Linked DNA regions of Pelodiscus sinensis. The protein of the gene in region 2 interacts with the protein of the main gene of each other region in a pairwise test. Links are inferred from orthologs where the notes say so. Each region holds a gene or a part of one and is shown on either strand. Other genes may lie near its edges. The genes, in order: TRIM63, MYBPC3 and ACTC1.

What was found.
Region 1: the proteins of MYBPC3 (region 2) and TRIM63 interact in a two-hybrid assay, tested with the Homo sapiens proteins (2 studies listed by BioGRID and IntAct). The link is inferred for Pelodiscus sinensis from reciprocal best matches to the Homo sapiens genes MYBPC3 and TRIM63.
Region 3: the proteins of MYBPC3 (region 2) and ACTC1 interact in a two-hybrid assay, tested with the Homo sapiens proteins (2 studies listed by IntAct). The link is inferred for Pelodiscus sinensis from reciprocal best matches to the Homo sapiens genes MYBPC3 and ACTC1.

The regions. Positions count from the first base shown.
Region 1 is NC_134735.1:1,664,536-1,672,061, forward strand, and holds the start of TRIM63 (E3 ubiquitin-protein ligase TRIM63), read right to left. Parts: upstream 3,017-7,526; 5' UTR 2,857-3,016; coding exon 2,698-2,856; intron 819-2,697; coding exon 652-818; intron 1-651. UniProt on the Homo sapiens protein: E3 ubiquitin ligase. Mediates the ubiquitination and subsequent proteasomal degradation of CKM, GMEB1 and HIBADH.
Region 2 is NC_134714.1:74,657,880-74,665,544, reverse strand, and holds the start of MYBPC3 (myosin-binding protein C, cardiac-type), read right to left. Parts: upstream 3,092-7,665; 5' UTR 2,568-3,091; coding exon 2,519-2,567; intron 1-2,518. UniProt on the Homo sapiens protein: Thick filament-associated protein located in the crossbridge region of vertebrate striated muscle a bands. In vitro it binds MHC, F-actin and native thin filaments, and modifies the activity of actin-activated myosin ATPase.
Region 3 is NC_134714.1:55,501,220-55,509,290, reverse strand, and holds the start of ACTC1 (actin, alpha cardiac muscle 1), read left to right. Parts: upstream 1-4,973; 5' UTR 4,974-5,125; intron 5,126-5,954; 5' UTR 5,955-5,974; coding exon 5,975-6,103; intron 6,104-7,408; coding exon 7,409-7,733; intron 7,734-8,071. UniProt on the Homo sapiens protein: Actins are highly conserved proteins that are involved in various types of cell motility and are ubiquitously expressed in all eukaryotic cells.

The DNA.
Region 1 (7,526 bases), on a different chromosome or scaffold from region 2:
ACTGTGTTCGCTCCCTCCTCCCTGCAACATGACTCTCAAAGCCGCGGCCGTGCTGCTCTGGGCACAGTTTGTTTTTATCAGTCGGGAAGTTAAAATGTGTGGAACGAAGGAACCGTGCAACCAATAAAATATGTCAGTGGTCACATGGTTACAGGTGGGGCAAAAGTGGACTCCCTGGGAGCCGGTGCACCCCGGAGCTGGCTTTTAACCCAGCTCTCCATGCACCGGGAGACTGCAGGTAACTGTGACCATTAACCCATGAGCCCAGGGTCAGTTCCCCGTTTGCAACAGGCTGGGGAGGGGGATGGGACATGTTACTGATTCTAGGCACGTGAGAGTGGAACCGTGTAGACCAGCTGCTGCTCTTATCGCGCCTTCGGAACTCCACTTGGGAGATGGTATTTGCTGATTCTGCAGACCTCCCCGGCCCCCCCCTTTCAAAGCCTGGTACCATATTTGCCCCATAGAGCACCTGTCTCTGCCTCCATGCCAGCGATTCAGGAAATTCATCGGTTAACTCCTTTCAGACCTCGGAATCCAGATCTGCACCTGCTGCTGTGTGAACACTCCCTGCCTCCTATTCCCCTGCCTGCCTGTTGTCCGCACCCGGGAACTGGCGGGGCTGCTGGCGCGGGCGGGCGCGGGGCTCACCTGGAGCACTCCTGCTTGTAGATGTCGATGATGTTCTCCACCAGCAGGTTCCGCTGCAGCCCGTAGACGCCGTGCCGGTCCAGGATCACCTCGTGGCGGCAGGAGGGGCACCGGAAGCGCCCCCCAGAGAGGGTGGTTCCCCGGCTCTGCCAGTACGGATTCGCCGCCTGTGAGTGCCGGCAGCACAAGGGCAAAGGTCACCCCAGTCACCTGCCACAGGCCCAAAACTATGGACGGGTGGAGGCCCAGCTGGGGAAGGCAAGTCCCAGCCCCGCCCCTTCCCCACACCCCTGTGGAGCCGAGCCCCGCCCACCCCCAGCTCCATCCTTCCTGGCCACCTGGAGGGCTGGGGCTGCTGCGCCATGGCCCCACCTTTCCCCAGCAGCTGTGGGGTGGCGGCAGACGGCGACGCCTTCCCTTGCCTACAGTACCCGCCGCCCACGCCTAACGCTCACCACTGCGCAGTCGAGACAGTCACGTGGACTCGTGTGAACCCCGCCCCTCGGCATCCCCCAGGGACAGAGCCTGCATCCCAGCCCCGCCCATCGCCCGCGGGGCGCAGATCCCATAATGCTTTGCACCCGGTGAGCGAGGAATTACGGCTCACAAAACCCCAGGAAGGAGGCAAATGTCTCCCGGGCACAGCTGGGCGCCCGAGGCAAAGCAAAACCCCTGAGGCAATGTGGCCAAGGGGCAGATCTGGGAATGGAGCCAGGAGTCCTGAGTCGCAGCCCCCTGCCGCAGCCACCCCCTCCTGCTCCTGAGCTGGGCACAGGGCATGGGGGTGCTGAGAGGCGTCCGTCGTTCACGGGTTAGAAACGCCTCCGAGCGCGCGGGCTCCGGGAGTGTACAACGGGCTCGGAAGGGACCAGACCTCCAGGGCCTGGCCCAGGGCCCACGGCCCCACCGCTCCACCACTTCTGGGGCAGCCAAGAAACGTCGCCCAGTTAGAATTTCCCTCTTGCCCAGCGGGCGCCTGCAGCATTGACCCTGCACTGCCGGGGGGGTCTAGGGGGGAGATTAGGAAAAGCGACTTCCCCAGGCGGGTGGGGGACGCTGGGCTGGGTTCCCTAGGGAGGGGCTGGCGTCTCCATTCTTGGCGATGGGGAGATTTCATTGGGATGGGTCCTGCTTTGGGCAGGGGGCTGGACTCGGTGCCTCCTGAGGGCTCCGCCCGCCCCAGGGCTCCGTGATCCTATGAGAAGTGGCCAAGCACACGGGGCGGGGGGATGGAGAAGCCGACTTTTTGGCAAAATTCCCAGGGAGGAATCTGAGCTGCAGGGACCTCGACATTCTGCCCATTGCCAGGAGTCAAGGGGGTCTGCACATGGGGGAAGTGCCAGGAACCCACGGTCAATTACACCCCCGCCGGCACAGCCTGCAGCCGGCCCTGCAGCGGGTCCCATCGCTCCCTTCCTGCCTGGTCTTCTCCTCCTTCCTCTATTGCTGGGAACGCTGGACGTGAGCAGCACAGCTCAGCGAGAGGGGGCCCAGCCATCGGGTTTATCAGCTGGCTCCTAGCCCGGCTCAGCCAAGAGAGGAGACCAGGGGGATGGGTCCTTTCTAGAACCAGGTGCCAAGCCGGCTCATTCCCAGGCCGTTGAAGTCACGGGGATTTTTTCACCAGCGTCCTAGATAAACGCAGAGCGAGACGCTGCCCCCTCCGCTCTGACAGACAAGCACAGCCTGGAAGGGCACAAGCTAGAGCACTTGGAGCCAGAATCTTGGAAAGCCGACAGGCGGGATTGAACCTGCGACCTTCGGGGCTAAAGCCACAACACTCTATGGCATGATCTGAAAACCCACCAGCTCCCAGCTGCGGCCTGGAGCGAACTTTCCTTGTCAGTGGCCTCTGGGTTACACAAGCCCGGAGTCTACCCCGCCCTGCCCGGCTCCTGACAGGGGAGCGCCCAGGGAAGCCTGGCCCTTCCAGCCCTCAGCCACCCCGCGAGCAGCCTCCGGTTCGGTCCCCGGGAGCTCACGGCAGCCTCCCCCCCGCCTGCAGCCAGGCACAGGAAGTGGCCCAGCCACGGGCCAGGCACTCACCTGGAAGACGTCGCTGGCGCACTTCCGACACAGGTTGTGCTGGCAGGGCAGGATGACCACGGGCTTGTTGAACATCTCCAGGCAGATGGGGCAGATCAGCTGCTTCTCCAGGTTCTCCATGGGGCTGGGGTCTCGGATGATGCTGGGCTGGTAATCCATGGCGCTGGGCGGCCTCCCCAGGTATATCCCAACGCCGGTGTCGACAGCTCCTCAGGGAACTCTCCCGGCTCCGCCTGCCTTCTTCAGCTGCACCAAGTTCTGAGCTCAAGCTTCTGGCTCCTTCCCTGCGGCTCAGCCTGGGCTCCTGCCTTTGCCCCTCTCCCTGCCTATTTATAATTTAGGGCAGAGTCACATGTGCTGGAGAGGGGCTCGAGTTTCCAGCGGCCTGCCTGTCACATGGGAGAATGAGCAATCGGTGCCCCTGGGGGGAGCGGGCTGTAAACAGGGCAGGGGACGGCCTGTCCGGGGCTGGCCCAGCCACAGTTCCTGGGATTTTGCAGTGTCTTTCCAAACAAAGACACTGGAGACGCAGCTGTAAACAGAGTCATCCCCCTTGTGACCCCCACCCGGCCTCCGCGTCCCTATCGCAAAGGGTTAAGTGACCCCCTTAAGAACATCAGAGCGGCCAGGCGGGGTCAGAGCAAAGGCCCATCCAGCCCAGTGGCCTGTCTGCCCACAGCGGCCAGTGCCAGATCCCCCAGAGGGAGGGAACACAACAGGGAATCCTCATGTGATCCCTCCCGTCACCCATGTCCAGACAAACAGAGGCTGGCGACACCATCCCTGCCCAGCCTGGCGAACAGCCATTGATGGACCTAACTTCCAGGAATCTAGCTAGCTCTTTTCTGAACCCTGTTAAAGTCCTAGTCTTCACCACATCCTCTGGCGAGGAGTTCCACGGGTTGACTGTGCACTGAGTGACGAAAACCTTCCTTTTGTTTGTTTTAAACCTGCTGCCTGCTAATTTCATGTGGTGACCCCTAGTTCTTATATTGTGGGAAAAAGTCAATAACTTTTCCTTATTCACTTTTTCCACACCCGTCATGATTTTATAGACCTCTGTCCTATCCCCCCTTAGTCTCCTCTTTTGTAAGCAGAAAAGTCCCCGACTTTTTAATCTCTCTTCAGATGGGACCCGTTCCAAACCCCTGATCACTTTTGCTGCCCTTTCCTGACCCCTTTCCAATGCCAAGAGATCTTTTTTGAGATGAGGCGACCGCGTCTGTACACGGTATTCAAGCTGTGGGTGCACCATGGTTTTATAGAGGCAACGAGATATTCTCTGTCTTACGCTCTGTCCCTTTGCTAATGACTCCTAACGTCCCGTTTGCCTTTGTGACGGCTGCTGCACTGCGGGGATGTTTTCAGAGAACGACCCACTGGGACTCCAAGATCTCTCGAGTGGTTGGAGCTAAATTAGCCCCCACCGTATTGTCCATGCAGCTGGGATTGGTTGCTCCAGCACCCGCCCTGTTCAGCCTCGGCCCGAGGTCCCTGCTGGGCATCACAGATTTCCACCCAAGCCCCACAACTCCCCCAGACTCTGCTGGCTGCTCCTCAGACCGTCACAGCCCCCAGCCCGGCCATGGGTCCTGCAGGTAGCACCAGACACCCCCAGTGCCAGGGGTGGGGAGCCGCCCGAGGGCACCTCCCAGGCCTGGGACTCGGGGATCCTCCATTGTGTTAAAATCATCGAACCCCAGAGTCGTAGGATGGGAAGGGACCTCGAGCCTCTCGGCAGGGCCAGGCACCGTCTGAGCATCCCGGGCAGGCGCGTGTCCAGTGAGGGACCCTCCACCACCCCCCAGGGTTTAACCCTCCTCGTGCCCGTGAACCTGGCCGGCCCTTCCCCCTGCGGTCAATGCGACACGTCCCCGCCCAGGGCTCATCCCCGTTGTGCAGCACAGGAGCTGCCGGGCCAGGCGCGTGCTCAGGGAGGGCCTCTCCCCCACGCCCAGGGGCTGCTGCAGGGAAAGAGGCCTGGGGGAGTCCACTCTCTCCCTGCAGCTGCCGCCCTAGGGCAGCCTGACCCCCACACCCTTCACCCCGGCCCCAGCCAGAGCCCTGCCGCCCTCCAAACCACTCGGCCCCACCCCCGACACATGGATTTTGTTATGTGCCCCGCTATGGCGGTGACCCCGTCCCAGGCCCAGCCAAGCAGCCAGGCCATCGGGGGCTCGGCCGCCTGCACAGCCACGAGCAGGCCGTCCGCCCCGCGGGCCAGCAATGCCCCTCGGCATGGGCAGTGGGTGAGCGTAGGGCGGGCCGAGGAAAGTCCCCAGCCTGCCCCTAGCCCCGCCCCTTCTGCCCAGGCCCCGCCCCCACGGGAGCCAAATTGCCTCCCCCCTCAGGCAGCATGTGGCCCCCGCAGCAGGTAGGCCTGCGGAGTGTGGGCGGGGCCAGGCTGCCTTCCCCACCTGGCATGCCGGCCACACCCGCCATTCTCCACGCAGCAGCCGGAACGGGCACAAGCCAGGCACCAGGCTGGGTCACATGCAAACTGCAGGAGGCTTCGGGCTCCCTGGATGCTCAGTAACAGCGTTGGAAGAAGCCAGACATCAGCAAAACGACCCCCCAGCCAGACCCCAGCGCGAAAGCGCCGCGTGGGAGTCGCTCGCGAACTCTCCCCGTCGGACCGGGAGGGGCTGCTTCGGCGTCCCCGCCTTCTCATCAGCTGGGGGACCGGGCCTCGTTAGCACGGGCCCTCCGCAAAGTAACGGATCGCTCCCCTCCGGGCAGGCGCAGGTAGCCCTGCCAGACCGACGGGTCCATCCCACGCTTGGGGCCCAGAACCTTTCCGGTGCCCCGGGACTCCTCGGAGCAGGAGACGCTCACACATCACCTCCACATTGACACACCTAACAGAGTCCATCCCGCACGCGCATGGGAACCATTCGAAGGAACCTGATGGGAACCCCTATTAACGGCAGCCGTACAGCTCCTCCGAGCTCTCCCGGCTCCCCAGTGCGGTACCCCCGGATCAACGGCCACCCCTACGAGCATGCTCACGCAGTCCTCAGTCAGGTTCTCTCGGTGTACAGAACAGACGCAACCTTGTGACGTAGTGGGGGGGTGTCTGCTCTGCAACCCGGGGTCCCCTTGCGCTGTGCGATTCCCACGGACTCACCCACACGTGGATTGGCCCAGACACCTAGTCCCAGCCTGGGCAGGTAACAGGGCTCTTCCCAGGGGGAGAGACAACGGGAGGGAGGCGGAGACAGTCACCGGGCTGGGGGGCAGGGCTGGGAGGGAGGCAGTTCCTGGGAAGGGAACAGACTAAGCTGGGTGCAGAGGGTTGGGGGGCGATGGACCCCCTAACCCGAGGGGGCTGAGGCAGCCTGGCCCTGACTCCTGTAGCCACATCCCGTCTGTGCTGGGCTGTACCCCGGAGAAGCAAGAAACCCCCCTGTTCTACTGGCTGCAGAGTCTGTTCTTGCTGCTGCGGGGGTGCAGGCTCAGGGGGGACCCCGACGCGCCGTCACTCCCCTCGGCAGGCCTAGGGTCCTATTTTCGACACCCGGGGGTGTGCGTACAGGGTGTCAGCCGCTCTCTCGTCCCGGCATCCGCAAGGTGCCTGGGTAGCGCCGCCGTCCGCGCCCTCTGGGTAAATAGCGGCAGCTCTGCCCGTGCCGCTCAGGGACTCCCAGGAACCCCTGACAAGGGCAGGCGGGCGGCTGGGCCTGTCCCCAGCTCCTTAGCAGAAGGGCTCGTGCGCGGCAGGTGATTCACTCCCGCTCGGGAGTGAAAACCATCCGGTCTGCTCCCCCCGCCGGGAGAACAAGCCAGGCCAGCTGCCGGGGGCCCCCAGCCCCAGGAATCCAAACGTCCCCGGGGCAGGGGCCCCACGGTCAAAACAGACCAGCTGGAATTGGGACTGGCGGCTCGTGGGCCAGGAATAGCCACGGGCAGGTAGAAAACCGCCTGCTCCTGCTGGCTCACTGCCCAGGTACCTGCCTCCTCGCGCACTCCCCACGTGGCCCAGCGCTGCTGGAATGGGACCCGACGCGCGTGTCTGCTCCGCGGGACGGTGGCCAGCTGTGGAAGCCCCCCTGGAACCTGCTCACGGCCCCCCAGGGAGCCTGCTGGAGAAACACTGGCCTGGAGCCGCAGGGCTAGCAGCCCAGCCACGCCAGGGCACAGTCAGCACCGGGACGCCTCTCGCTGGTGCAGTGGCCCTGCTGGCTGTCATGGCGAGCCGTGTGCTGGCCGGCACTGCCGGGAACCCAGCCAGTCGTTAGCTCCTGCTGCAGGGCCCTGCACGGAGCTGCAAGAATAAATCCCTGTGGCTGCGGGCCACGGCTTCAGCATGCAGGGCCACGGCTTTGGAATACAGGGCCACGGCTTCAGCACGCAGGGCCACGGCTTTGGAATACAGGGTCACAGCTTTGGAATACAGGGTCACGGCTTCAGCACACAGGGCCACGGCTTTGGAATACAGGGCCACAGCTTTGGAATACAGGGCCACGGCTTTGGAATACAGGGCCACGGCTTTGGAATACAGGGCCACAGCTTCAGCACTCAGGGCCACAGCTTTGGAATACAGGGCCACAGCTTCAGCACTCAGGGCCACGGCTTTGGAATACAGGGTCACAGCTTCAGCACGCAGAGCCACAGCTTTGGAATACAGGGCCATGGCTTTGGAATACAGGGCCACGGCTTCAGCACTCAGGGCCACGGCTTTGGAATACAGGGTCACGGCTTCAGCACTCAGGGCCACGGCTTTGGAATACAGGGCCACGGCTTTGGCACTCAGGGCCATGGCTTTGGAATACAGGGCCACGGCTTTGGCACTCAGGGCCACGGCTTTGGAATACAGGGCCACAGCTTTG
Region 2 (7,665 bases):
TATAAATCTTCAGCAACACACTAATAAAATATTTTAAAGCAATTTTAAACTCAGATTCTGTAGACTAACAGAGTAAAATCAGAAACTGACAGTATATTCCTGAGGTTGGCAAATTCCTGTTAAATGGCTTCATTACAACTTGATTGGCTCTTTCACTGGTTGAGTGTATTTTATTTAAGGTAAGGATGGCCCTGGCCTCTGGGGAGCAAGCAAGAGGCACAGGTGGTGGCGAGCAGTGCAAGTGCTGCCAGGAGGACTTCCCAGGAGCAGGGGGCAGTCACACAGTCAACAGCTGAAGAGAAGTGGCACTTTGAAGAGGAAACTGCTGCTTCTCTCCAGCCACCAGCTGCACAGCCACCTTCTGCTTCTCCGGAGTGCTCCGTCCCACATTCTCACCGCTCACCACCTACTGGTGAATGGGGGAGGGTGGCCAGGGGCTGGCCTCAGGAGCTGGCACAGAGCCAGCTGGGCGTGGGAGGGGAGAAATGACAGCTGGGGGATTCCCAGAAGTCCCCTTCAGAATCTCCACCTAACTCCTCCTCATCATCTAATTAAACCTGCCTTTCTTCATGCACCAGCCTTTAAAGTTAAATAAAAAACAATGTCTGCTATTTTTCATTGCAAATATACAGTATTTCAGCTACCTTATGGGTTAAGTGGGCTTTTGTGGGTTAGCCTGGGAACCTAACTACCATTTATAACAGGGCAACTCAACTTTGGAAGCCCCGGAGGCCACAATGATACTCAAGCACATGCTGAGGGCCACAACTTAAATGTGGTTGCATATACACGCAAATATATAAGCCAGTATATGCAAATAGCTTCTTTCACACAATGCCCAGCATTCCCGGCACCTTCTCCTTAGGGGCTAGAAACACCGATACCCTGTACCCAACTGTTCCATCCAGCCCATCCACTTGCATTTTTGAGTGCTCACCCCGCCTGGGAGATGCCTCAGTGCTGTGGAGCATGTTCCCAGTGGAGGCCATGTTCAAGGGATCTCACCCGCGGGCCCCATGTTGAGCCCTGTGTAAACCCAAACTGCATCACAGGCCACATGTTGAGCAGCCCTTATTTATAACATTGTCACGATGGAAAAATGTGTTCTGTGTTCCAAACAACTGACTTCCAGACAAACTTTTGGAACATAATTCATTCATAAGTTGGAGACTTCCTGTACTGAAAAGAGTGGTCCTTTTGGAAAGGCCTTCCCAATCATAGGTAGACCATAGATGAACTTTTTAATAGTGTATGAAATGAGAGGAAGAACAGAGGGAATTAGCTCTACAAGTACATCAGCAGCCTAGTAAGCTCAGAGAGGTATTAATGATTATCTTAATCAGCAGTGGCTGTAACATATTTCTGCAAGATATTACTAATCATAATTTCACTTTGCTGATTAGGGTCCAGAGTAAATTCCATCCATGTGACTGGGCCAAACTCCAAGGAAGATGAGAATGTCACTGTTTTCTACTTCATCTTAGTCTCCTGGAAGCTAGTAAGACTCTCACATTTGCTCAATCTTTCTCTAAAATTATAGAACAGCTCCTGTTTGAGTGTGTGATGGGTTGGGGGCAATTCACCTTCATCAGACAGTTACTTAAAACAGTTCAGCTGGATGAAATATACTACTACAGAGAATACAGTTCTTTTGGTTCCCTTCACAGCTGGGCACATGATTATTCAAACCCCTATGCCACAGATGACAAATCTTACCAGACACAGATGGGGATTTAACAATGTTTCTAAAAATATTTCAAAATATCAACTTAAAGAAAATAAAAAGATCTTGGCTTGGAAATTAACATCATTATTTTAAACTACTTGCTAAAAGAGTATTCAAAATGATTTGCAAAAAATATTTAGCAATAAATATTTCCTCTTCCCCATGACATTTTTCCCAGAGAGTTTAGCTTCATATTGCATGACTTCAAAACAATGGTAGGCAGTGAAGCTTTATATTAGAGATCAAATTGCTCAAAGATTATATTTTTATATTTTTAAGGAAACACTCTAGCCTTCCTTCCTTCAGAGTCCTGGCTGTCAGATCTCAAATTGCTGATCAGAGATTTTTCCATCTTAAATTTGAATTTGTTAAATTTCAGTGTTTGTTATTTTCTCTCTCTGCTACCTCTTGAAGAAACACGAAAGCTAATGAGAACTCTTTTATCTGACAGAACTCCCTGGTGAGCTGGAAATACCTGATTTAAGATCTTCCAGCCATTCACACACACAGTTTATCACAGATTTGCTCTCTTTGAATAATCACAGTTTCCCTGTAAGAGGAAATGATACTTGTCCACCAGCCTCAGTTATCAGCAACTGTGAGGCTATTTTAGGACAGTTTTGCTTTGCCAGCTGTGTTTGGGATAAGGACATAACTCTTTTCTTCATGAGGCATTCTCTATTTTTCCTTAAAGTCAGGAGAGAGACAAATATCTTGCTCCTAGGCTATTCTTGGAGCTGAGTCACCCTCAATGCCAAAAAGAAATGTCATGACCAAGGAAGAAGCTCTCACCTTCAAAATCAGCACTGAAGAAATCCTGAAAACTATCATTGGTAGGCATTGTTCCAGTTGTCCATTGAGAGCTGTCTCAGAACCAATAGATGTACCAGTCTATAAAGTCTACCACACTGAGGCAGATGGAGTTTAATGGTGATTATGTTAAGTGATGTAGAAAGCAGATTGCTAAATTGCTTCTAAAATTATAACAGGCTTCCCCTAGGATGATTTTATAATTTCTGTTATAACATGATACCATCTGAGCATATAAATGCTCAACTAATTGCAAACAGAGTGATTTTGAAGTGCATCGATTTAAAGAGAAACTTCATGATTTTTTAGAAAATCAAAAGAAAAAGTTCTGAAATTCTTGTCTAGCTGTAATTCTCAGATTTCTAGCATCAGTAAATCTATTTATCGTGTTCCTAAATCAGAACACTGGAAAAAGTTACATTCTTGGAAAAAAATCTCTTTGTGCGTTTTGTAAAGCAGCTGTTTCTTCCTGTCTGTTTCCAGGGAATTACCATTGTGGAGTGATGACATCAATCTCTTCACTTCCCCAAGTGGGACTGTTACTATAGACAACATTGACTAATTTGGAATATAACTTTAAAGACTCAATCCTGCAGGTGTTGAGTACTCTTGTGTTCCACAAACTTAAATGGATCATGAGGGTGCCCAGCACCTCTCTAGATCAAGCTCTCAAAAACCAGTTTCTTATTTGTCCATGTCTTCCTTATCCTCATGTTTGACAGCTTATGTCACCGTTGAATATACTTGAATAAGAACCAGACTCTTTAACCCAAGCTTTTGATCTGATTTGCAATCCTGAATAATGGTATATAATCTGTCTTTCAGCCATTTTGTTACACTGTCCACCTATAGTGTTTTCCCTACAATCATGCAAGGTGCATATTATAACCTGTGAATATATACTATGTCTCTTGCACAACAGTCATGGGCTGTTCGGTAAGGTACCTCATGTATTTCAGATAATAGAAAAATTACTTGGTAGCTTGTGATCATGTAACTAGACTTTTGTAATATATGCGCATGAGGAAATGGGAGCAGAATAAAGGTTCATGTGGTATCTTAACCATGACATTTCCTACTTTGAAATCTTAACATTCTCCTAAAATAGGAGCATTTTGTTTGGTTAGTTTGTTTTTTATGAAACCCATTAAAGATGGTTAGTACTTTGCACTGTGAAGTAACTTATATCTGTACAGAGTTGTTACTAGTTTATTATTTGCTATGCAGTAGTATCTAGAACTGTGGTGTCCAACCAATTCTGAAACTGTCAAACTAGCCACACTCAATTGGCCAAATAGTCACATATGGCTAGTGGCTACCATGTTAGATACCGTGGGTCTAGAAGCTACAGTTGAGATCTGGGTGTAACTGATTGTGTAGCACTATAAGATACATAATAAAATAACAGTCTCTATTCAAAAGACCTCACATCTAAATTAAGACAAAATACAATAGTGGACGTAACAATACAATAGTGTCTACAATAGAGAGTTTATAGCAGCACAGCCTGTGAGGCCAACTCCAGCCTCAGGGCAGCCCCACAATTGTGCCCCTAGTACTGGGATCTCAATCAGATCCTTGGGGTGAGGGAAGCCCTGGCACCAATGCAGTTGCACTGCTGCAAGATCTCTCATGTAGCCTTCTGTGCAGATGGGAGAGAGCTATCCTGTCAAGATAGTTAATTCACCCCAATGAGCAGCAGTAGCTTTATCTGCAGGCCTATGTCTATACAGCGGCATTATTTTGGAATAAGCTAGTCCAGAACAGATTTTCTGGAATAGCTTATGTCGAAATAGCTCTTAGCTATTTCAAAATAGTGTGTCCACACTGATTAGATGCTAAATCGCATTTAAGGCCACCCAGAACCAGTTCAGGCAGAGCATCAGGTCAGTAGTTGCTTTGTGTGGCTGCTGCTTGAAGCTGTCTGAGGGAATGTCTAGACTACATTGTTTTTTTGAAAAAACTGGCCTTTTTTCAAAAAAACTTTACCTGCAATCACATTCTTTCGAAATTAAATCAAAAGAACGCAGGAGTTTTGTCAACATTCGTAAACTTCATTTTACAAGGAAGAACCCCTATTTTTAAAAGAGCTCTTTCAAAAAAAGGTGTGTGTGGATGCAGGAGAGTCAGTTATTTAAAAAAAAAGAGGCCTCCAGGACAAAGCACAGGTGCCCTGGTGGACAATCTGTCTACACTAATCACAGCTCTATAGTTCCTGTGTCCAGCCAGGACTTAAAGCTGCAGGCACCCGGGGAAGGCATTGTGGCAGGAAGCTGGCCTCAGGGCAGCAGTCTGACTTTGTGACTTTACCTGCCACACCAGCCAGCAGCCATGGCTGAGCCACAAGGCCCCTGACGTCCCGCTGACCCTTCCAGGGAACCTCCCCAAGGGTCCCAGGACCCTCCAGGGGCACCAAACGCTGGGCCTCATCGTGGTCGGGGGCTAAGATCCAGGACCTCCTGGAGTTCGGTTGCAGCGCTGAAACGCCGACACTTATAGCCAGATGGCCGAAGCTCTGGCCCACAGAGGTCACCACCATTGCAACCTTGATCAAGTCTGGGCAAAGGTCAAGGAGCTGCGGCAGGACTATGTGCGGGCCCATGAGGCCAACTCCCACTCCAAGGCAGCCCCACAATCGTGCCCCTACTAACGGGAGCTTAATCAGATCCTGGGGAGTGAGAAGCCCTGTCACCATGCATCCCCGTGGAGTCTGAGATGGAGACACCCATTGTCACCTGGCCAGAGCTCCAGGCAGAGGAGGACAACAACAACCACGAGCTGCAGGAGGAGGAGGAGGACACTGGCAGTGTTGTCACCCTCAGCCTGCAGCCAGTCCCCCAGGTCTCAGGCATCATCTGATGGTGGGGAGGGAACATCAGGTGAGTGCGGTGAGGTTGGCACACACACAGCGTGGGGGAGGCAGGTGCACAGGGGATGAGGCATGATCATCACTTGTCATGCTCGGCCTGGGCAGGGTGCAGCTGGCCGTGCAAGTATGTGCAGCGGCAGTGTGTGACACATGGTCTCAGGAGCCAGTCCTGAAGCACACATGGGCTGCTGCTCACAGCCTGGGGGGAGTCCCCACACACATCCAACCCCTGGGAGGGACGTCTTCTCCCCACCAGGCACTGCTGGAAGCAGGCTGGGCACAAGGGCATACTCACAACCACACACAGACCAACAAGTGTAGCACATACCACACGGCCATGTGTGCATACGTGAGGCACCACCCGCTCCCGCAGACAGCGCTGCCAGGTGCAGTGGTGTGTGTGTGTGTATGTGTGTGTGTGCGTGCAAGCTGCTCCAGGCCACTCTCTTGCACCTGGGAATCCCCTGTGGCCAGACACTTCTCTGGCCTGTTTGTCCATAGGACGGGGAGAACAGGCAGAATGGTCCACTGGGCACCTCGGGGCCCCTGTGAGGCCAGGGCTCCTGGGCAGGCCACACGTGGCCTTGCTCTCAGGACATCAGCGTCCCCTGTACCAAGGACAGGTGCTCACTGCTCACGGAGGAGGGCACGCCCTCAGAGCCAGCGTGTTCAGGGATGACTGACCTCCTCTCCCTCTTGTCCTCCACAGCCGGACCAGCCGATGATGAGGAGTGAGCCATACCAGTCCAGCTGGCCAGCCGAAGCCATGGGACCCGAAGGCACTGGCGGCTTCATTACAACCTCATGCGCCAGCACATAGCGGGCATTTGCAAACTTCAGCAAACCCTCGCCCAGAAATCTTGTAGGGAGGCTGAGTGGCGTGAGCGCATGTGAGGAGAGCTGGTGCAGCAGGGAGATAACATGTGTGCCATGATTCGGGAGTTATTGCCTACCCGGGTCCTGTCTCCATTGCTGCTCCCCCTGTCCCCTCCGTTCCTGCCCCCCCACCATCCCTGAAGCAGCCCCCCCTCCTGCCCAGGCCCCTGTTGTTGCAGAACCCACCTAACCCATAGTCTGTCGAGGTCCCCAGACCCGAGGCGGCAGTGGCAGGTGCTCCATGTGCCACTCCCAGCCCTGAGCTCCCCTCCTAGGGTATGTCTAGACTACATGGCTCTGTCGCCAAAGCCATATACATTAGTTTACTAGACATACCCAAATGGTCATTTAAATTAAAATGGCTGCTGCGCTGAGCCGATCACCTGTTTGTTGGCTCAGCGCGCTAGTCTGGACACTCCATGGTCGACATCAAAGGCATTTGTCGACTGCTCCGTTATGCCTCATGGGATGAGATTTACCGGGGCGGTCGACAAATGCCTTTGATGTCGACCGCGGAGCATCAAGACTAGCGCGCTGAGCCGACAAACAGCTGATCAGCTCAGCGCGGCAGCCATTTTAATTTAAATGAAGCGGCGATTATTTAAATCGCCACTCCATTTGGGTATGTCTAGTAAACTAATCTATATGGCTCTGGAGACAGAGCCATGTAGTCTAGACATACCCATAGTTCCCAGCCCCCCTCCAGGTTCTGAGCCCCCTTTCCTCTCCCTGCTCTTGGTTCTGAGTCCCCCTCCATTCCAGTTACTTACATTTTCTACAAGTTGAAACAAAGTTTATTTTTAAATAAAAAATGGTGTCTTTATTGATTGTGCAGGGAATGGGGGAAGGAAGGGGTTGTATTGGGAATGGTATTGGAGGGCAATGCACAAGCCTCCATTGGGGAGGCCCTGAGGAGAGTTACTGGGCTCCTTAAGAGAACCTCTCCTTCAGGGCCTCCCGGATACACACCCCCCCCCCCCCCCAGCTGATAGACCTGGCGTATGGCAGCTTTCCAGGGCTGTTCAAACTGCCTTCCCTTGCCACCAACCGGTGTCCCCCACCCCAGGAGGAAGGCCTCCCCTTTGCTCTCCACCAGGTTGTGGAGCATGCAACATGCAGAGACCGCCTTGGGGATGTTGCGTTCCCCCATGTCGAGGCGGGTCAGCAGGATATGAACCGGCGCTTGAGGCGCCCAAACGTGCATTCCACCTGTATGCAGGCTCGGTTCAGGTGTGTGTTAAATTGTTCCCTGGTGAGGGCCAGGTGGCCAGTGTAGGGCTTCATGAGCCACGGCATCAGTGGGTAGGCCGCATCCCCCATGATGCAAGTTGGCATCAGCAGGTCCCCAAGAGCAAAGTCCCGCTGTAGGAAGAATGTTCTATCC
Region 3 (8,071 bases), about 19 Mb from region 2:
AATTCCAGGCACATCCCATTCCTCACACAACCAAACCCTGACCTTGCTTTAAGTTATCAGAGGAAGCTGCATACCAAATTTGGTGGTCCTAGCTCTTAACATTTGGGAGGCATTCTAGAACAGACAGGCAGACTCACTTGAATATATAGTAGATGGCATATTGCAAATAGTTCGTAAGGGCTAGTGATCCAGTACTTATATTATTTCTCACATCCATCTATATTTTTGACCCTGCTTCTCTCAGCTTCATAACAAACATGCTTTGGATGCATCTCTAGTCTCCTATTGCCCATCTCGCTCTTCCCTCATTTCAGTACACTCTTAAGACACACAAGTTTAATTATAGACACACAGCCCTTTATGAGTGAAAGAGGGAGACATAACAGCCTGCAACTATGTGAAGGGTTTAAATGTGAAGGAGACAGAATGTATTTAGAATGATACATGGGGCTATAACTAGGACAAATAGAATGAAACTAAGAAATGGCGAGGGAGTGAATATCAGATGAAACTGTGTGGCAATGTAGTTATTAAATAGTGGGATAATGTTTCATGGGGAAAGAAAAAACTCAGTCACTTGATTCTTTCAAAATTAGATTGGACAAAATATTAGAAAACGTATCATAAGGAACAATTCTGCATTGGCAGGAATGATCTAATTCTCTTTTTCAGTTCTAGCTTCTATGATTAGAGTGAGTAGGCATATATCCCACATATGTGGAGATGCTAGTCATCTGATAAATTTGTCATGTGCTTTTAGTATTCTTGCCTGCGCTCTGCCCACCATTCAAGATCTGCTGGGATAACTTCTTCCAAAACCGTACGGAACTTTCAAATAGCTGCTATGGAACAAAATAAAATCTGAGATTTTTCCTTGAAAATGTAGAATTTCTCATGAAAATTTCTCCGGCCTGAGGCTCCAGAAGGGCAATATTCAACTCTGATCCACAGACATATTTGAAAGTACAAGATTCCCTTTGGGGGAAGGGAATAGATACAGATGCTTTATGGCAGGGGTGGGAAACTAGCAGCCCTGGCTTGCCTGGATCCATCCCCCCAAGGCTCAGGGCTCCCCCTCTCCAGCACTGGAGAGCCTGTGCTGGCACTCCAGCCCCCCTACTATCCCACCATAGGGCTAGAGCACACAAAATCTACTTGCCTGAGGTTCAGTAGCTTTCTACCCAAAAAAGGTTCCCCACCCCTACTTTATAGCACTGAGGTGGGATGAAGCTTTTGTTCCAAACCCCAGTAGATTACAAGATATTAGACTTTAAAATCATGGCGATATTTCATATGTAACAGGTATTAAATATATTTTTGTTTGTTTCTAAAATATATTAGTTATAATTTTTCTCCCCCACAGAGGTCTGCACAGTGGGTTTCACTATAACTAAGACTAGTGATTTTACAGGGGAAAGGATGCAACAATTGTACCAATAACATGTTTAAAACTTCCAAAAAAACAGTTCTATAACAGAACTTCTGTGAAATATTGCACGTTACCTTAGCAGTTTAGTGTGATAGGAAGGATTCATTGGCACCTATGATCTATAACATCTATATGTAATCTAAAGAATAAGCTGATAGTCAGCAAAATATATGTACAAAGGGTGGCCTGTGCCAACAAAATCTTTTATTAGATGCAGTGTTTACTGTTGTAAATAATCGCATTGAATTCCAAAGGGCAATAAACACTATACTTGGTGGAAAGTGCTTGCAGAATTAGGGCTGTATTTTCCTGTTGATCTTTCCTTCACCTAAAATACTAAAGTGACTAGGAGATTCTAGGCATCTGAACTATCACCACTTTATAATCTTGTTTTTTTAGCATGGAAGAGCTAATAATCCACTGTTTGCATACTGATTGCTTCCAGTTGGTTTGAATGTTGCATCAAGAAAGCAGACTTGCTCCACAAAGCAGCTCTAAGATGCTGTGATTTTAGAAATGAAGTGGCTGCCTTTCTGCATATATGTCACAACTTTGCTAATGAAAAGACGTGTGCTTCCCCATTAACATTTCTTAAAAACTACAGTCTTAATATTTCTGAAGGACAAACCCATTTTTAGTTAGATATGTGAAGAACTATCACTATTGCAGCTCCTTCCACTATCTACTAATCCCTTCTGTTTGCTTTTCTTTTACCTCTAATATACTGTGTGGGCTGTGGGTGGTTCATAAGAAATGCATCCTACAGGTAAAGAGACTAATGATTTCAATCTCTGGACTTCCCCTCAACCCCAGATGATGTTGGGTTTTGCTGCTGTTTGTTGATTTATTTGCTGTTGTAATGTCACTTTAAATTTTTGGCAGACAGAAGGATGATTTTGGCCAAAGAAATGAATTTATCTGGGTACTTTTGAAATGGTTATGAGGAAACAGATGCCAGTTTGGATTCAATACACTGCATGGTTCCCTTTTCCTTTGACCTTGTCATGTACAGTAAGGAGAAAGATTTTTTTTTTTTAGCTTTCAAGGACATCAGTATTCTAGTTTCAAGTCCTATTGTGTTTTAATTAGAAAACTATAATTTGAGCAAGTAGGAGTGAAAGCAGATATATGTTTAAAAATGAAATGCACAGGAAAGGTCCGGCGTAGGACCAACTGTCCCTGGTAAGTCTTGCACACAAGTGCTGTCTTTATTTGTCTCAGTTTTCAGACACACTCATTCTTTCTCCAGCCAAATGGAACATAGGATGTGACAGGGAGGGTCTGAGATTGGAGGAATTCAAAGTGGCTATCAGTAACAGACTTCTATGTAAATACTGTAACACCTCTGAATGGAAGGACAGCTGAGATAACACTGTAGGCTAATCTTTACTGCTGGTGAAAAAGGCCAATCTCCAGCATTATTCAGTTTCTGCAGAAAAAATGAACTTTAGGAAGAAGGAAAAACTGGACAAGAACAACTAGACATTACATGTGGGAAGCTGCCATTGAATCAGAAATGTAATAAAAATGGAAAATGAAGTATTAAACACATTACTAATTTGAAACCACACCCTTTCCGCACACTATAGCCTATATATATCATATATACACTGATGGATAAATATATAAACATATTTAAATATTTATAATTATGTAAAGTATTTGTCTATACTCACTTTGTGTGCCTTGTCATGCCAATATTTGATTAATTTTTACACCAAATTCCAATAAATTTAATGCATGTGAAGTTTGTCTTTCTCTCTGATTCCTAAAGCAGAAGTATGTGAAGCCTAGCCCTCCACTTCAATGACCTCTTTCTGTCATTGTAATTTATAGCTTTGAACCATCCTTTCATATATATCTGGGCTAGTTTTAAGTATTTTTTTTTAAATTGTCATTGTGTCTCACCTGAAACAATGTGGGTCTTTTCAAAGGTTTTAGAATAAAGCAGCAGCCAACTGCGGCTAAGATGATTGTTGCAATATCTTAAAAAAAAATGTTCATAAATGGGCACAACCCCAAGATGAGCTGGGGAGGGGCTGGTACAAGTAGGTTAGCCAGAGCTAAACTTCTGATTAACTACTTACGCTATTACACAATATTTGTTGCATCTATTATCTCTACAGGAGAAATTTAAAGTGCAAGAGTCTCTGCCACCTCCTTGAAGTACAATATAGAAATGAATAGTATGGATCCTCTGTAATTTCCACTCACACTTTTTGTTGAGGCCATTTCTCGGTGCAAAGACAGCACAGAAAAGCTGCAGCAGACTACAAATTACACTCAAAGATTCTTTCCTCCCACATCTTTTAAGATATACATGGGTGTTTGATAGAAGTGATCCTTATCAGCATCTAATATGTTTCATGCACAAGATTTGTATTTGAGTGACTGATCTGGCTGAGCTGCTGCTACTTCTCTTGCCCTCCGCCCCTTTCCCTTGGGCTCAGATTTTACTTCCCAAGAGTGAGCAGCGTAGGCAGACATTAACATGTCTGGGTAGTTTACAAGCTGAGCTCCCGAAGGACACTACTCTGCAGTATAATAAAGTTCCTTTAGGAAACTCGTTGACAATCTGTGCCTTCACATACCAGGCCAAACCCACTCAAGGGATGCCTCTCCAGTCTTTCTATTTTTAACCGAAAAAAAACCCCTTTAAGATATATGGATCTTCTAGGTTTCACTGCTGGAACAAATTATCAATGTGGATGTTTCAGCAACAGAGCAGGAAAACAACTGCCACATTACATTAATACCATGGCTGCTTTTGTTCAAGCTGTTTCCATCTCTCCCTCCCTCCCTCACACATCACTATGCATTACTGATTCAGTATGCACTAAAAGTACAAAAATGGGGAGTTTATATATGCGGTATTGTAAGCCAACAGATACTGCTTTCACTGCCCATTGCCTACCAAAAGCAAAGGAGGGCACAATTTTTTTCCTATGTGTATTAACCAAAGTTTAGAGACAATTAAAATGTGCATTGCTTCTTGCTGAAGCAATGCAGGGAGCAAATGTTGTCTTCTGCCTTTTTCCCAAGAGCAAAACCTGAGATTGTAGCTACCAATGACAGCCTCACACATCGGCCTGCTCACCTGCTGTCTTTTCAATAGTGGGGATATTATCAGTTTCAATATAAAAGTAAGGGCGCAACCATCCCCAAACAAATGCATTTTGATATTAATGGTCCAACTATTATCTCCTTTAAATGTCACCCATCACTTGTCCCAGTTACTTATTTCCCAAGCTGCAGTCACACATGCCAGACACTATGGCAACTAGAGCTTAATTCATTGATCTTTCTCAGCTTTCTGGTTATTTAAAACAGCAAGATGGAACACTTCTTTCATTCATCTTTTTAAAAATATTGGCCTCCAGAACAAGTATGCATGATTTGTTCACAGGATCTCCCTATTTGGCCATCCCATTTGCTGTTAGAATGTCACCCCCTTGCTTTCCTTACATGGCCTGTTGGGCCCTGTAGCCTACTCTGACTTTTGCCTTCCCTTACTCCATTAATGGCTTCTCTGCTACTCAATGGAGTGAAGCCTACCAAATAAGGAAAAGGTGGCTAGCTTGTCCCTCAGGAGCCTGGGACTGCCGCTGCCCTCAGGAAGTATAAATTGGTGTATCTGCCTCTGAGTCACTACCCAGCCTTTTTTCTCAGGAACGCCACGCAGTAGGTGCTGATCTGGTGAGTAATACCGCTGAGCAGCCCATCAGCCAAGTTCCTAGCACAGCTGTAGAAGGCATCTTTGGGGCAATTAGAAGAGCGGGCTGAAAAGAGAAGACGCTGCCTGGATTTCTAGCGACCACCTTGGAGGAGCTGCTTTGCGCAAGGGCTAATTTTGTGTCGGGTTTGGGGTGAGGGCTGGGAAGGAGGGACTGAAGCCTAGAAGCTTTTCATTCATTCATTCCTCATTACATCCACTGCTTTTAAAACAAGAGTGGTCGGCACATCTTGGCGGCCTGGGGAATTATAAGACACCACAACGTGTTGTGTGTGAGATCCCCCTCCACCCCAGCTCTCAAAAGTGTGCTTGTCCTTCAAACAAAGAGATCTTTTGAGAGACATCGCTTTCAAGTCGTTCTAATGATGCTTAGCAGAAGAAGTTGTAGGGCGTTTGAAGAACTTGAAGGGGTGGGAGGGGGGGTTAGTTGCCCAGACCCTCCCCAAAGGCTTGGAGAAGCGTTTGCGCTATGTAGCAACTTCCCCTGCCAGATCTACGGTCACTGCAGGCAGTCGCTCTGAGGGATCAGTCATAATGAGGAACAACTGGAGGGAAAGGTCTGCCAAGAACGGCCCCCTGTGTGTGGTGATCAGACAGGGAGGGAGGGGGATTATTGTCTGATAGTTCTCACTGCGCGGGAGGGAGCTGCTCAGGCGAGACCCCGCGGGGTAGAGAAAGTTGCCCCCGCGGTGTGTGTGGGTGTGTGTGTGTGGGGGGGGGGGGGTGTAACGTGGCCGGGAAGGGCGCGCTGCTGCCTGCGGGCTCTGGACACGCGGCTGGGCTGTCTTGCAGATCCCTGCCCGCCGCCCAGCATGTGTGACGACGAGGAGACCACCGCGCTCGTGTGCGACAACGGCTCCGGGCTGGTCAAGGCCGGCTTCGCCGGAGACGATGCCCCCAGAGCCGTCTTCCCGTCCATCGTCGGCCGCCCCCGGCACCAGGTAACTGCCCCGCGACTCGCCCAGGGGGCAGGATGCGCAGCCGCGTGCGCTGCGCTCCCCCGTGCTCGTCCCCAGCCACCTCCTCCTGCGGCGCCTCGCAGCTCTGCTTCTCTTACCCCCTTGTGCTCCTTCAGACCCCGCTTCCCCCCTCTGACCTTCCCATCTCCTTGCACTCCTCCGGCGCCGCACGCCTCAAACCCCGCATCTTTGCCCTCCTGAACTTTCTCCTCCCCAGTCTTCACATCCTAGCCTCTCAGATCGTATCTGTCATCGCCTCCCTCTCCCCACTGGGCCTCGGTTTCATTCTTCACAGCCTTATCTCTTTAACCTTAGCTCCTCTCTCTCAGCTGTCTAGTTTCTCCTAATTTCCCTCCCGCGTGGACCAGAGCTCCAGCAGGTGGAAATCCATCTAGCTCCATTCATTGAATTTACAACACCTGAGCCAGGATCTGTCCTTAGACCTTTGCCTCCTCACATAGCTCATCATCTAACCCTTCACACCACTGCCCTTCCCCTTGAATCCCTTTATCTATTTCTTCTGTTACCCTGGAACTCCTTACTCATTTTCTATTTACCCCCCAGATCCTTTCCCCTTCCTCTTATCTCCTTATAATGCTACTTTTCCTCCTTTCATCCCCTTATCTCTCCATATTATGAACATTAAATCAGTATATAGAAGACTTTTAGTAAACTGTGCCCCCTTCCCGCAAAGGAGCTATAAATTACATGCAAAAAATAAATAAAAGCTCAGAATTGACATTTGATATTATGGGCTCAGTGATAAAAACACTAATACGTAATTCATTTTTTTTGTTTACTACATGAGATAAGCCCCTCCTCTCTTTTATTTATAATATACTATTTGGCATGAAGTCCAGAATGCCACGGTTGTATTTGCTTCCTAGTTTATGAATGATTGACTACATTGGTAGATACATTTCACTGTAATGGGGATAGCTATAAAAATGTTCTCTCATCCAGCTATTCATATTTATGATATTGTGCAGATTACTTTCCAACTTAGCCTTAGATATTTGGGAATGAGCTGGATGAGTCTTTTTTTTGTTGGTTGTCACTTTGATTAAATGAAGTAGGATTTTTTTTTTAAAGGATTCAGCCATGTGTTGACTTAATTAATATTCAAAGTAACTGTTACTTTCTGTATTTAAACACATTTTGGCATAGCTCTTCATTTCTCTCTCCTTTGTCCCAAATAAAATATTAATCTCTTGGGTACAATTAAATCTGTGCTTAATGATGGTATTTCCCACCCAGACAAAGTTTCTTTATATTTTCCTCCTTTAGGGAGTTATGGTTGGCATGGGTCAGAAGGATTCCTATGTAGGTGATGAGGCTCAGAGCAAGAGAGGTATCCTGACACTGAAATATCCTATTGAACATGGCATCATCACCAACTGGGATGATATGGAAAAGATCTGGCACCACACATTCTACAATGAACTGCGTGTGGCCCCTGAGGAACACCCTACTTTGCTTACAGAGGCTCCTCTAAACCCTAAAGCTAACCGTGAAAAGATGACCCAGATAATGTTTGAGACCTTCAATGTGCCAGCCATGTACGTGGCAATCCAGGCTGTCTTGTCCCTATATGCCTCTGGTCGTACCACAGGTAAAAATAACTGATTGCTATAGGAATGTTTCCTTTCAACCCCTCAACTCCAAAAGAAAATAGAAAACTGTGAGCAGTCTCTAACACATTCACAGTCACACAAAGATAGATGTCTTTCAAACATGGCACTTGTAAAAAAAAATCATCAAAACAGTCTGCTGAATGTACAAAAGAATACTAACATAAGACTCTGTAACCATGGTTCAGTTCATTGTTCTGCCACATATTTCTTCTGTGACCTTGGGCAAGTCACTTAACCGCTCTATTTTCCTTTTAAAATGAGGATAATATTTATTTACTTCCATAGGAATGTTTTGAAGCTAAATATATTAAAGATA